2 linked regions of the Arabidopsis thaliana genome follow. The protein of the gene in region 2 interacts with the protein of the main gene of each other region in a pairwise test. Each region holds a gene or a part of one and is shown on either strand. Other genes may lie near its edges.

Region 1 (6,505 bases), on a different chromosome or scaffold from region 2:
AATTATTTTGCTTCACTTTAAATAATATTCAATATTTTTTCATGTAAAACTATTAACTATTTTCAAAATCAACCTTACAATAAATGCTTAGTCCTATTACTTTTGTTTTGAAAATTAATAGAATGTAGGTGTAAAATAGATAATATACATGTATAAATTTTTTAAATATCACTTATTAAAAAAGGATGAAGTATTACGCTTATATTTAGATTTAAAAAAAAAAAACTAGAGAACTAATAAGATTTTTGGTAAAATATATTCTGGTATTAAGTGTTTTTTTAGTGAAAAGGAGATTGATATACACGCGCCAATTTACTGGTATTGATATATACTGGGCCAGGCCCATTTTGGGGTGAGCAGCAGATCCAACTATCTGACAAAAGAAAGAAAAAGAAGTTCTCCACCACCTGACATTTTCTCATTCTGATTCTGCAAATCTAATTGGGATTTGGATTTCAGAGGAAAACAAAATGTGGAATGGGGACTCTTCAAAAATGACAGTGACACTTATTTATAAAAACAAAAGTCTGGTTTCATTGGAACCAAATCGAAGCTTGAAATTATTAAAAAAAGATCCAAAGGCAGTGTTACAAATACAAACTCTTAATGTTCAGACAAAACATCCCCAGAAGACAACAACAACAACAACAACAAAAAGGAAAGCGTCAAAGCCAAATATGAGACACGTGCTTATTCAAAAAAAATCCAAATATAAGACAAATTCTTGTTCTTTTGCATATTCACTGCAACAGAATCTGAGATTGCAGACCCAAAAATTGGCAGGAATGTTCTTGAAGAAGTCTTCTTTTCATCTATCTCCTCAGGGTGTGAAGAATGTACTCAGCGTAAAGATCCCTGTGAATGATTTCAAACATCAAGATTTGCTTAAAAGAAAAGCAAATTATGTAAAAAAGGTAAAAAGAAAAAAAAGTTTACATTGAGTACTGAATGGCTTCAATAGCAGGACCAGGTTGTAGAAAATCATTCACTGCAACTTCCTTGTTCTCATTCTTCTTGTCTGTTATATTTTGGTTAAAGATAGCAAAAAAGAAATGGTTTTGTTTCCTAATCAAGTATTAAAATAGGTTTTAAGGATACAGTCTTCAAAGAATCGACGGATTTCAGAAAGACGATGAGGAGGAAGTTCATTGATGTTAGTGATGTGCTTATACTCAGGATCATCAACACAAACTGCAATGATCTTGTCATCTTTTTCACCCTTTATTTCAACCAAAACCCCAAAGAATTAGCTACAATGGTTACACAAACTTGAAGCACAAGGAAACATGAAAAACTAAAGCTTAGGATGTTACCTGGTCAATCATAGGCATTAAACCAATAGCTCGGGCGCGAAGAAAACAACCCGGAAGCACAGGCTCCTGTACATAATCAACTTTGATAAGAAATTATTTCAGCCATTTCATTTTCTTTTGGTGAATGTTGTTAGAATTAGACTCAAACCTGCATGATAACTAAAACATCTATAGGGTCATTGTCTTCACATAGTGTGCGTGGGACAAACCCGTAGTTGTGAGGATACACAACCGAAGAATAAAGAATCCTATCAACCTGATAGACATATACAAACACTTACGATCATCATATATCCTCAGATCATTCTGTTTTTTCAAGATTTGATATCTTTTTACCTTGATGAGACCTGTTTTTTTGTCAAGTTCATATTTGACTTTGCTCCCCTTTGAGATCTCAATAACCTAATTTCATCCAAAAAAGACAAATGATTAACTCTTTTTCGATCGGATTGTCACATCATCAAGCATAAAGACTTTACCACATTGAAAATCACTGGAGCTCCAGGTCCTGCACACATAGAACAATTTAGTTAAAAAGACTCTAATCAAACACACAGAATATCTTTAAAACAGTGATTATTACCGATTTCAAGATCATGCCATGGATGTGCAGCAACCGATCTCTTAGACAAAGATGAGAGAATCCTCTCGTTTAAACGTGGAGTAGGGTTCTGAAGCTTCTTCTGAGGTTGACTCGTTTTCACTTCTTCTCCATTCATCTAATAAAACAGAGCAAAACAGAACCAAACGTTAGAATCTTGTTAGTCAATTTTCATGACTTCACGTCTAAATCAATATAGAATCTTTTCACTATTGATGCTGATAACACGATCCATCACTCAAAGATTTAACATCAGATTCTACTAGTACGATAAACATCAATCATCTTCAAGATCGAAGTTAACAAAATCTACATAATTCAGCTAAACACTAACAATTTGTATCGAATTTGTTCATTTCTCGATAGATCTTCCGTTGGATACAAAATCCAGAGGATCAAACATCAATACGCAACAAAAGTTGAGATCAAGAACCTTCAAAAAAAAAAGTCGTACCTTAGAATCGTTTGAAGAACAGAACAATCTTGCGGAAAGTGTGGAGAAAGAAAAGTGACGATGATGAGAAAACAGTAAAGCGCGTGTTCTTCAATTGCTACCCATAATAGTATTTATAGAAAGCGAGAAAAACGGATTAAGATTTAATTAATTGGTAAGTAAGTTATTAATTAAATATGAATTTATAATCACCGTTCGATTTCTTATAACCTAGGGCCCACCGTAAAACACTAATCTCAGTCTCTTGAACGATTCTCATACACACACTTGGCACTAACGCTTTAACTATTTAAACTTTTACTGATGAAAAACAAAATGAAGAGGAAGCAAGAAAGCAAATTTTTTTGTAACGATGCCTATCAACAGAATTGCGATTGGAACGCCGGGGGAAGCTAGTCGTCCCGATGCGATTAGAGCAGCTTTCGCGGAGTTTTTCTCGATGGTTATATTCGTTTTCGCGGGTCAAGGCTCTGGAATGGCTTATGGAAAACTAACTGGAGATGGTCCAGCCACACCTGCCGGTCTTGTGGCCGCGTCTTTGTCTCATGCGTTTGCGTTGTTCGTTGCGGTTTCCGTTGGAGCTAACGTTTCAGGTGGTCATGTGAACCCGGCGGTTACATTTGGGGCTTTTATTGGTGGAAACATAACGTTGTTGAGAGCTATTCTTTATTGGATCGCTCAATTACTCGGAGCAGTCGTAGCTTGCTTGTTGCTCAAGGTAAGCACTGGCGGGATGGAAACGGCTGCGTTTTCGCTATCATATGGAGTGACGCCCTGGAACGCAGTCGTTTTCGAGATTGTGATGACGTTTGGGTTAGTTTACACGGTTTACGCTACTGCCGTGGATCCCAAGAAAGGTGATATTGGAATCATTGCGCCTTTGGCGATTGGGTTAATCGTTGGAGCTAACATTCTGGTTGGTGGTGCTTTCGACGGTGCATCGATGAACCCCGCGGTTTCATTTGGTCCGGCCGTGGTTAGCTGGATTTGGACGAATCATTGGGTCTATTGGGTTGGTCCTTTTATCGGTGCAGCCATTGCAGCTATTGTTTATGATACTATCTTTATCGGTAGTAATGGACATGAACCACTTCCTTCTAATGATTTCTAAGTTAGGTTTTTTTTTCTTGTGTCTTGTGAAACAAGAAATCTACAGTTGTAGCCTACTATGGGTATTTTGAGGGAGATATGTGTTTTTAATTGTTTTTCACTACTTTTGTTGTTTTAAGTAATTAATAAATTGATTGGTGGAAAATTTACACTAATTTAAATTAGATTAAACTATTATGTGGGGTATACGTAGTATTCTGCCATACTTAAGGAATTCATGTACAAACGAATTTTATTGGAGGCATATTCTTGAGATTATGCTTCCATGGTGAAAACTGAAAATATATCAAACATAATGGGACCCGCCATTATCAATAATACTATGAAGATATATATATGGTTGGTTGGTCCATGCACGTTCTTTATTTTATTTTTGGCCCAAGCACGTTCTGATATGTGAATCTTAGGCTAATGATTTTTTAGTCGATTTAAGTATTGAACAACACACACAAAAAAAGGAATTCAATAAACGGTACTTCGGTGTCCCGGTGTTTGCTCTAAACGCGTTTCCAAGTTTCTTGCACGTTCAAGCAAAGTGCGATGACGAGATTTGATGATACTCACGATGTATATTCCTCAATAACAATAATTGTGATTAGTATTATAAGTTTATATATATAACTCATCGTGGATTTAGAAGAGTTATGTCAATGGTCGATTGGTCGTATGTTTTATTGTTTTTACCACATGGAAAACTAACTATTTTATGTATCAAGAATTGTAAATAACATGACATTTGCAGATAACAACTATTTGGGAGAATTCTAAAATTCGCTCGATGATTTAATTTTAAAGATCTACACTAATTGTGCTACGTTGAGCAATTCTCTATTACAAGTTAATTGTGCTACGTTGACCATTTCTCTATTTAAAAATTAAACATATACAAAAACTCTTTACAACTATCAAATATTCTTTTTAAAAAATCAAATAAAAAAAACACCAAAGTAACACATCCTTCGACTTAGAAATCACAATATAAAATCAAAACTTTCGACTTCGAATCAAAGCCCCGAGTTCGTTCAAAAACCTCAATTTCACGAATATGACTCATGAGGACCTACTAAGAATAAAGCTAAGGAATCTTTATTCAAATAAACAAATACCACGCGAAACATTAACGCGTAAATACACGCACGTCAATCTCACGCGGTGGAACGCTCGGCTCTTTTAGTATGGGCTTTAATGGGCCTGTATAGATTAACTGGGCTAATATTTTTAAAAGAAGGACTTTTGTCTTGAGCCCAAAACGAAAATGAGTAATTTGTTTTTGTTTTCTGATAAAAAAAGAGTTTTCCTCAAAAGAAATGAGTAAATGACATATTACTCAATAATTTACTGTAAAAATGACCAAATGGTTTGACTTTGACCAAAAGTTGGAAAAGATCAGAGTTGTTACCAGTCGATTATCTCTGACGTATGATCTTGTCGTTCACTCTTACACACAATATTCAAATAATGTATCATTGCTTTCTGAATAATATGTTTTTGTTTATATTGTTCTTGTATTACAGAATTTAAACATATTGATCGGATTTGTTTTGCTTATGATGTTTAGATTTTTCCCGATTTTTTAATAAGCTTTGAATACAAAAGTTAAATATATGCGGAAACCGATATATGAATTAAAATTTCGAAAAAAGTAATGTGAGTGAGATAGGCTGAGTTTTACGTATTACAAGCGAGACCGATGTGTCAATGAGACTCTGACCATAGGCTTCCTTTTACGATGCTTTTTTACCATTGGAATATTAAAAAAATTCTGCCACCTTTCTCTTCGTTGTTAAAAGTAAAACTAGAGTCATTATACAATAAACAAGTATTTTTAGTCAGTAGACGTTGATGCAAAAGAATACCTTTAAATTTATGTTGTAGCTGTACCTTTTTTATCAAGCGTAGATTTGTCAGACGCATGGACGATATGAGAGTATTAATAAAACGTATATGCAAAATATAAAAAGAGGTTGCGAAGTGTGAAGGCGACTTCTTCTTAGTAATAATGATGTTTCATCTTTAATTGTATTTGTTTCCATTTCCGTAACCATTCTAATACGGACGTCTAAAGTCAATTTCTTAACATTATTACTAAGTGGGAAACATTTATAAATGGAAGTAAATATTACTCATGGTTAACTTTTTTCGTTTTCGGGGTCAAACTGAACTCATAGGTTAGTTTATATTCAAAAATTACAGGCAATAATAACCTAAACCTTCATGTGACCAATAATAATGTCATCGTAGAACACTGCGAGTTTGCTACTAATCTAAAATCCAAAAAGTATAAGATAATAATTAAAACTCCCAAAATTTCACCTCTTTGGTTTTTCTTATTTATATCACGTCCCTTTTCTTTGTAACCTAAAGTTTACACACGTTACTAGGAGTCAAAAGTCAACTAAGTTCGACTAAGATTTGACCACATGACTTCACCGTTGATTTGCTCGAAGATCTGATGAACGGCTGTCGCTATCTCATCTGCTGATCCTAATTTACAACCATCTTCCATCTGCATGCACAACACCATTCATTTCTCATCTCTCCAAAACTAAACAAAAATTAGCAACTTACTAAAAAATTAAACTAAAATTTTCTAAGCTTAGAGTGAAGGAAAAAAATACACACACACACACATAATTGTAGATATTTTCTATTATGGTTTCTCATGCATTTTAATTTTCTTAAGTACCAAACATTTCAAAATGAAGATTCCTTAATTTTCCTCAAAAAGTCAAAAATTGCTAGTTACATAAGACTATTTATAATAATGCTTAAACTAGTGGAAATTGAAACTGATAGTTTAAGAGATGATTAAGAAAATTACCTTGAGATTGAAAGAGTAGATGACAAAGTCAAAGGAAGAAGAGATAGTGAGATGTAGAATCGCAAGCTTTAGTTCTTCAATCGAGACAATAGCTTTTAAGATCTGTCGTTTTCCTCTCTTACACCGAACTTTTAAGCTCACATGGTTCTGTATCACCGTAGCCTCCACTTCTGTCGTATCTCCACCGCCGAATCTCGCCGTAAATC
Region 2 (8,221 bases):
AATGTAATGTTTATTGAGCGCTTGCTTTCAAATGTGACAATTTCTCATTATTGTACTGAGGATGTCTGCTTCGATTCCAAAGTTATTGTATAAATATTAAAGTACTATAGTTTTCAAAACTTTAATGTGTGAGATTTTGATTGTATTGATATCATATTACAATGTCAAGGATTGATTATTGGTGAACAGTCAAATATAGATCAAGCTGTTGCTGCAAGTTAACTATACACCTTATCCTTATTGCATCATCTGGTTCTTAATGTGTGAGATTTTGATAGTATTACTATCATACAGTAATATATTAACAATGTCAATGGTTGATAATTTGATCAACACTAGAATACAGATTAAGCTGTTGCTGCTTAAAGTACAAATCTTATTGCATCATCAGGTTCAAGTACACATCTTATTTCTTCATATCCAAAGACCACCTGTTCGTACAAGGTGGTTTGGTCTCATACACTTTACTGCTTCGTGCTTGCTTACAGTTACTGCAAGAATATAACCGGAATTAGACTCACATTTAGTATAGACCATTAACCGAGAAAGTATTAAACAAGTCATTTGGCCATAGTAATAGGCTAGCTGATGATTAGTGCATGGTCTTTGCTTTCAAAACGTCTAAGTCGCAAAACGCTCGTTGGAGAAAGATGAGATTGTCTCTGAGCCAGATGCTAAACCGACTCGGTTTTCATTCCCAAAACAGAAAACTAACCCAAAGCAACGAACATTCACACCTAAACAACCAGATGCTTAAAGGCATATATAGCTTTTATGTTCTAACCCCCAAGAAAATATGAAGCAACTCACATTTGGATCCATTAAAATCATGTGGTAGTTCAGTTAAAAAAATTATATCCTAGTTGTATGACTTACCATGAATTTTTTCTTGAAAACCTCCACAATCTCCTTAGGATCCATTTTCGTCTGTGCATAGCCATCGCTCTTGTTAATTTCCTGCAAACATAACACCGATCGCTTAAGTACCATTCCCTAGTGAGGATAAGTGTAATCTTTTCTGACTTAATGAAGATTGCATATATATATACCTCAATCCATGCTGATAGTTTGGGACGTTCGGCAGTAATGTCGCACTTAAATAATTCATTGAGTACAGTTTGGAACCTTTCAATGAACGGGATATAGGCGATATCAACCTTGAAAAAAACAAAGAATTCAAACCGTCCATATAAGAATTAAGACAAACAAAAGGCGAAATGTATGATCTCAAAGAAGGTTAGTGAGGCTTATACCAAGCTTAACTGACCGAGGAAGAACGGCCCGTCATCGAACTTATACAGAGCGTTTTCCAGATAATCTAACACAGGTGCTGAAACAAGAACATGAAATTTTTGGTCATAATTTTGTCGCCTTTTCACCCCTGAAAACAGTTGAAGAGTTTAAAGTCTCACCGGTTTCTTTAGAGGGGTCTCCTTTGAGTGACACATACATAGTTTTAACGAAAGTATCAGTATACTTGAGCAACTCGTCGCCAAACTCTCTTTTTGCATGATCCTAGAGAGGGAAATGAATAGTGGAATCAGAGAATAATGAAGGGAAACCATACTCGGTATAAGGGATGTGTTACCTCGGGGTAAAGAGAAGGCCCTTCAAAAGTGTTATCAAGATATTTAATCAAATCCAGACTCTCCCCAATGATTTTTCCATTGTGCTCAAGCGCTGGCACCTGAAAAAGATAACGAGAAGTTTCCACTAAGTCATAACCAAAAGTGGAATGTCACATATGAACTCGTGAGTTATAAATAGAAAACCTTGTTCTCTGGATATACTTTCTCCTTGTACCAAGCAGGCCTATTCCCAAGATCCAAAGGAACAAGTTTAATCTTTTCTTGCAAACCCTACAACCACCGGAAACCAACCAAAGAATCCAACTACTTTATAAATAGAGTACACATATGCAAGAAAGATAAAAGTTTGTGAGACGTCAAATTAACAAACTTCAACAAGATAACCAATCCGGCTTCAAATATCCCTAATACGACCAAAATATTGTTAAAGGTGAGAGACTAGTACAAAGGAGAAGCTGTTAAACCTTGAAGTTTCGAGTGATCCAAACTCGTTGAGCAAATGGGCAAACGTAGCTTGTGTACAACCTTTGGTAACACAAAACAATAAGAGGTTAAGACATAAGGGAAATCCAATAAACTACAGAACAGAGCTAAAACCAAAAGCATAAAAGAAGCAACATTGAAGATTAACCTTGTGGTTCCGTCGAAGAGAGACGGTGGATCAGAAGTAGCATCAAGCGGAGCTGGACGATCTTCTACAAAACTGTCTCAATAGAATCAAGCCACAGAAAAACTTAAATTCCCAATACAGCTGAAATCGAATAGACTTAATGTAAAAAACATGAATTTTGCGAAACTTATAATCCCAAAATCGATCAAACTCAATAAAGACTCTAAATTCCGGATAAGAACATAGATCCTTACATAAAAGAAGGAGCCATTGACGATACAAAGATCTGATTCTGTAGAAGAAACTACGGATTTTTTTTGTGTGGAAGCGTTTACGTTTCTCGAAATTACAGTCATCATCGTACACGTGGCAGTTTTGTGATCTTTGTCGGGAACTCCATAACTCATAATGGGCCGTAATTGATACAATTCAATAAGGTATTCAATAAGGTATTAAGCCCATTTTATTATTGACATTTGTATTATCCGGAATAAACCATGTCTCTCTCTTTGATGAATGAAAGTAAACAATACCAAATATCTCTTATTTATCACAAAATGTACAATACCAAATCCAGAAATTTATAACACTCTCAAGTAGTAATATTTCTTCTTCATAAGCCATCATGGCATCGTTACCAAAGTCCAACAGATTTGTTACTTTTACTGCAAATAAAGAAAAACCGGAATCGGTTAGTTTTGTTTTAGAACGTTAACCGGAAATTGAGTTAAGACAAAATTGCAAAGCCTAACATTAAAGTAAAAAGGGCATTTGAGTCCAAATAAACAAAAGTTTAAACGTTTATAAAAAGCGAAATTACCATGAATCTCTTGAAGTAATTGACAACATATTCGGAGTCGGTTTTGGTCTGCGTATATGCAACCATCTTGTTCATTTGCTGCACCACACACATTGAGGTAAAGCAATCAAGTATGCAGCTAAATCATACAAAAGTTTTACCATGTTGACATGCATATATCACACGTGTACCTCAATCCAAGCAGCTAGATTTGGCCGTCCGATTATAATTTCATATTTAAAAACTTCGTCGAGGAAGACTTGAAAGCGTTCGATAAATGGGATATATGCAATATCAACCTAGCAAACAAAATCGAGTAATTTTGTAACCATAGTGACACATTCAAAAAAGGTTCATTCGCACTTAACATTTTGATAAGACTAATATACCAAACTAAGCTCGCCAAGGAAGAAAGGACCATCATCAAACTTTTTCAGAGCATTTTCCACGTGATCGAAGGCTGATGCTGCGTCAAAAACACACATGTTTCAGCCTTCAGATGCCCAAAACAATTGACAAGACACAAAAGAAAATCAACCTTACCTGTTTCTTTAACCGGGTCACCTTTGAAAGAGCCAAACACAGTTTTTACAAATGTTTCATCGACATATTTCAACAGTTCTTCACCAAACTCTCTCTTTGCAGAATCCTAGACCAAAAATTTCAAAAAAACAACATCTCATCGAAATATTGTTACTTACATGACAAGAACAAGTCTATAACATGCCAACAAGGTCATACCTCAGGGTAAAGTGAAGGTCCATCAAAATTGCTATCGACATATTTGATTAGATCAAGACTCTCCCCAGTGATTTTTCCATTGTGTTCAAGGGCAGGAACCTACATACATCATTATCACAATCTTTTAGAGTCTTCTATTGTCACTTTTGAAAGAACGTTAATTAGTTTATAAGGATTAATCATAAAAATAAACGGCACCTTGTTTGCAGGATTAACTTTCTCCTTTAACCAAGCTGGCCTATTAGGAAGATCTATAGGAACCAATTTGATCTCATCTTGCAGACCCTAAAACTCCCCAATGTCAAACAAATCAACAAATCTTGCTTATAAATTTTTCATCTCGATCTCAATTTACATACATATATACCATAAATATATAAAAAACAAGTACCTTGAGGTTTCTTGTAATCCAAACACGTTGTGCAAATGGGCAAGTGTAGCTTATGTACAACCTTGTGGTTCCGTCGAACAGAGCAGGTGGATCAGAGGTAGCATCGAGCGGAACCTGACGATCTTCTACGAAAATTTTTCTTGATAAAGGAAAAAAAATCAAGGAGATGAATATAGATTTAACAAGAAAAAACGACTTTATACTAATCAAGAAACCTCATAAAGTAAACAAAAAGGATCTTACGGAGGAGATAGAGCCATGGAGAGGATTTGATAAGAGTTGTTTCTTCAGGGGATTATTATTGCAGATATGATGTTTTAAAGGAACTATGGATCAAACACATAAGACTACGTATATATATTATATATATACTCAATGGAAATTGGAATTAGGAATTAGGAAGAGGCTTGGTTCATGCTTACCCAATGGTGACTACCAATAGAAAAAGGTAAACGTACGTCAGCGTTTGATTAATCTCTGTCGTTGAACTTTCTAATTTTTGTTGTGAAGGTCAAAGATATTGATCAAAAGCTTCTACTAGTTTTGTTTGCGAGAATACTAATAATCACATACGTGAAGTCTAATCAGTTGAATACGTGAATACTAATAATCATATTAATTTTTTTTGGTTGCTTTGTGATGATTTTTCTTTATATCAAATAAAAAGAGTTTAAAAGAAGAAAAAATGGTAGATGACTAAATATTTCAATTGAAAGAACTATTTTTGTTAATTACTGTGATATCTTTTTGTAATGCTTGTAATGTTATAATAATACGATTGGAATGACACACACACAACGAAAAAAACTATTTTTGTTTTCGTCGAAATTTCATTATGACAAGTGGACAAAAACAAAATGCTGGTCAAAAAGCTCAGTCTGTGAACCACGCCATTGGATGCTACCTCACCGAATCATCTATGCTCAATTCGTATCGTATAAATAATTATTCTTTTTGTATATGAAAATATTATAATTCTTTCATGCCTTTCTTTTCTTTCTTTTTCTGGTAGACCTTAAGCTTCTGGTTAGTGGTTACTAATATTTGTATCAGAAGATACAATCAAAATTTTATGTTTTCTTTGAACGTATCTAAATTTAAAAAATTTTACATGTCATTGTCTATACAGATTTCATTTTGAAATATGAGGTGAAATTAATGAACCAAAGAAACCTTTTTTCTTTTTTTTTTCTTCTTTTTTTTTTAAAAAACCTTTTTTCTTCTAAATGCTTTTATAGTTTGTATTCATATTTTCCGATCGTAAGAAGACTTTTGTAGATTTTCACATAGTCACAGAATATACCAAACGGTCAAACAAAGATGCAAAACACATAACACATACTGACATAAAAATATATTAAGAAAGTTTGGGAGATCTTTAAGTTCTTTTGCAGCATTTAACGACCAAACAAAAACTAAAGAGGTCTGCAAAACATTATCTCATCCACACTTAAAACACATCTACTAAATGCTTTGAGTAATACCCACTGATTGCTTTGGTTGATTATTACACTAAACTTCGTTCTCAGTAATCCGGCGCTAAGAGAAAGTGCAACGATGCTTAAAAGGAGGAACAAGTGTTGAAACGAGACATGCATACATCATACATATTCAAGAACGGATGAAACAAGACGGGAATGTTAACAAAGTTCCAATCCTACATTCCTACTTCGCCGGCCGATAATTCGTGGACGTGGTCACGTGGTGGAGAAGATTAAATCATAAAAAAATGAAATTATGAAACGATGTCGTTTTATTTTTTATTTGGGCCGGGCTATTTAGATCAGACCCGGATTGTAAGCAAGTTTAAATAGACAATATTGCCCCTTATTTCGGATGCTTAATGTATCGGACTATAATTTAGATCCGATCCGGCCCATAAGAATCAAGTTTTAATCTGACTATATTACCCTTCGTGTCGAAGGGCTTTAAAAGTCCCCGAGACTCGACGGTTCGACTCTAACCCTACAATAGTCTTCTGCTAAAATCGCGAAAGAGATATCTTACGAATCTCCACAAGTGCGAATTTCGAACGGAGCTACGATTCCATGGCGACCAACGGAGAGAAGGTCACGGCTACGGTGGTGAATGGCGGAGGGCTATCTACTGGTGAAAACCCTAAGAAAATTGTAGACCTCAACACTACGGAGTTAGATCGTACTGACGACATTCTCGACGGAGAAGTCAAGGGATTTTCAGATTCTGGTGAAAAGAAGGAAGAAACCGACTCTAATGGTATTGGATCGACGGCTGGTGTTGATTCTGGGGATATCTCTCCGGTCGATGATATCCAGAAGAAGATTCGACGTGCTGAGAGGTTTGGTGTTTCGGTGAAATTGACCGAAGAGGAGAAGCGCAATTCTCGTGCTGAGAGGTAAAGACTTTAATATTTATTCGTTAGATTCCGTCGAATTTAGGGGTTTCGAAAATTAGGGTTACGGAATTTTTTATACTTATTGTCAAACCTATGTTGTAAGGAATTTCACCTTCGGTGCAGGTTTGGTACTGTAGCTGCAGCAGTGGTGAATGGCTCAGAGGGAACGAAGAAAGCAGAGGAATTGAAGCGAAAAGCAAGAGCTGATAGGTATGTCACAATACTTTCTTTGTACTTGATAGTTGTTTATTGGTTGGGTTTAGAGAAAAAGGAGTTTCATACTCGCTTTGTATTTTGAACAGATTTGGGGTTCCTTCTGCGACCTCTACTACTGATAAGACTGAGGAAGAGGCAAAGAAGAAAGCTAGGCTCGCTCGTTTTGGAAAAGAGACTAAAGTTGATTCTGCTGAAGAAAATAAGCGCAAAGCTAGAGCATTGAGGTACTTTTTCTATGCAACCTCAAATTCTTCTAGTCCCTGAGAACTGAAGTACTGTGCCATGCTTTCTAATTATTGATTTTTGTGGTTTGTGAATTTCCCATCATTAGGTTTTCAAAAGAGGCTTCAGCAGATGCATCTTCAGATTTACCTGAGAAGCAAATTATTGGCAAGGTAAACAGTCTTTTAACTTCTGTTGTGTCGTCCATCTGATAGAATGAGAGAATTGATAGAAAAGCTAATGATATCTCTTGTTGAACTCTTTGTTTCATCAGGAGGCAGCTGTATCAGGAAGCGCTGCCTAAGGTTCCTCAATAAAGTTTTTCCGTCTTTGTAGTTAGGTGAGTTTTTCCAGATAATTCTTATTGCATTGCAAACTCTTGTTGATACGATTTTTTCTCGTATTTGACTCCATAATCTGTTATATGGGCAGGTAGTGTGCTAGCGTTTTATGAGTCCCTCTCTGGCTGCTTCATTCTCTCTTTATTTCTGAATTAGAAGTCCATGTGTGTAGTATCTTTACTAAGTTCGGTCGTGGAGCAATCACCAGATGAGATCTTGAGAAACCAATAAGTAACCTATAGTTCTGATTGTCTGAAATGACAATTATCAATGTGTTTAGGACCTAGGAATTCTGAAGTGGCTGGTATTGATGTTTTCCATGTTGCAGGTTCTTGGAGTGGTAAGTATAGTTTGATTAATAACTTTATTTCGTTTTAATATATTGGAATGTGGATGGTCCTTTTAGTATTGCATGTTCGTATCAAGCACAAGCACCAGCAATTGAAAATTTGTACTGCATGCAGCAAATATTTAAGTAAGGGAGACATTTTTTTACTGTTTTGAACTAGTTAGAAATTAGAAGTGTTGATTACTTTTGAGTTGTGCCTATTTTGCTAGTTTTTCTTAGTCTTGGTTACGAAATTTAGCTGGTCTACTGGTGTTCTGTGCTTGATTGCGAATATTGCATGCAAAATGGATCCCATAAACATGTGTCGTTCTTAGGTTACTTAATTTCATATGACCTCTCAAGCCGCTACTTCAGAATTTCTTTGTCATGTAAGACATCATTAGAACTATAGATGTACTTGTTGGTTTCCATATCTCTGGTCTCTATGGCAGTTGAAGGAAAGAGAGCCTCAGATTCTAAATTCTCTGTTCGTGGGACTGCGTTTTTGCTGGCTTCTGATGCTACACAGTTTCTTTGTTTCTGTAATAGATTTTAGATAAACTTTTGTTGATACTTGCTTTCTGTTAATTTTGAATGAAGCGCCAGAAAA

What was found. Proteins that work in one complex are often made in the same cells at the same time.
Region 1: the proteins of GSTL1 (region 2) and PPa5 interact in a two-hybrid assay, tested with the Arabidopsis thaliana proteins (one large-scale study listed by BioGRID).

Annotation. Positions count from the first base shown.
Region 1 is NC_003075.7:622,066-628,570, reverse strand, and holds PPa5 (pyrophosphorylase 5), read right to left. Parts: upstream 2,503-6,505; 5' UTR 2,369-2,502; intron 2,352-2,368; exon of another isoform or gene 2,249-2,351; intron 2,033-2,248; coding exon 1,897-2,032; intron 1,822-1,896; coding exon 1,793-1,821; intron 1,716-1,792; coding exon 1,650-1,715; intron 1,570-1,649; coding exon 1,462-1,569; intron 1,380-1,461; coding exon 1,314-1,379; intron 1,220-1,313; coding exon 1,099-1,219; intron 1,019-1,098; coding exon 937-1,018; intron 856-936; coding exon 813-855; 3' UTR 501-812; downstream 1-500. Other genes in the region: TIP1;3 (tonoplast intrinsic protein 1;3), read left to right, coding at 2,721-3,479; AT4G01460 (basic helix-loop-helix (bHLH) DNA-binding superfamily protein), read right to left, coding at 5,874-5,984, 6,300-6,505.
Region 2 is NC_003076.8:627,126-635,346, reverse strand, and holds GSTL1 (glutathione transferase lambda 1), read right to left. Parts: upstream 4,600-8,221; 5' UTR 4,553-4,599; intron 4,497-4,552; exon of another isoform or gene 4,457-4,496; 5' UTR 4,391-4,456; coding exon 4,374-4,390; intron 4,270-4,373; coding exon 4,131-4,269; intron 4,025-4,130; coding exon 3,938-4,024; intron 3,839-3,937; coding exon 3,740-3,838; intron 3,648-3,739; coding exon 3,542-3,647; intron 3,465-3,541; coding exon 3,388-3,464; intron 3,298-3,387; coding exon 3,190-3,297; intron 3,098-3,189; coding exon 3,020-3,097; intron 2,865-3,019; coding exon 2,862-2,864; 3' UTR 2,588-2,861; downstream 1-2,587. Other genes in the region: GSTL3 (Glutathione S-transferase family protein), read right to left, coding at 489-491, 877-957, 1,050-1,157, 1,254-1,330, 1,413-1,515, 1,589-1,687, 1,773-1,859, 2,054-2,114 and 2 more; MOS11 (Protein MODIFIER OF SNC1 11), read left to right, coding at 6,179-6,504, 6,628-6,714, 6,807-6,944, 7,052-7,115, 7,217-7,246. UniProt on the Arabidopsis thaliana protein: Catalyzes the glutathione-dependent reduction of S-glutathionylquercetin to quercetin. In vitro, possesses glutathione-dependent thiol transferase activity toward 2-hydroxyethyl disulfide (HED).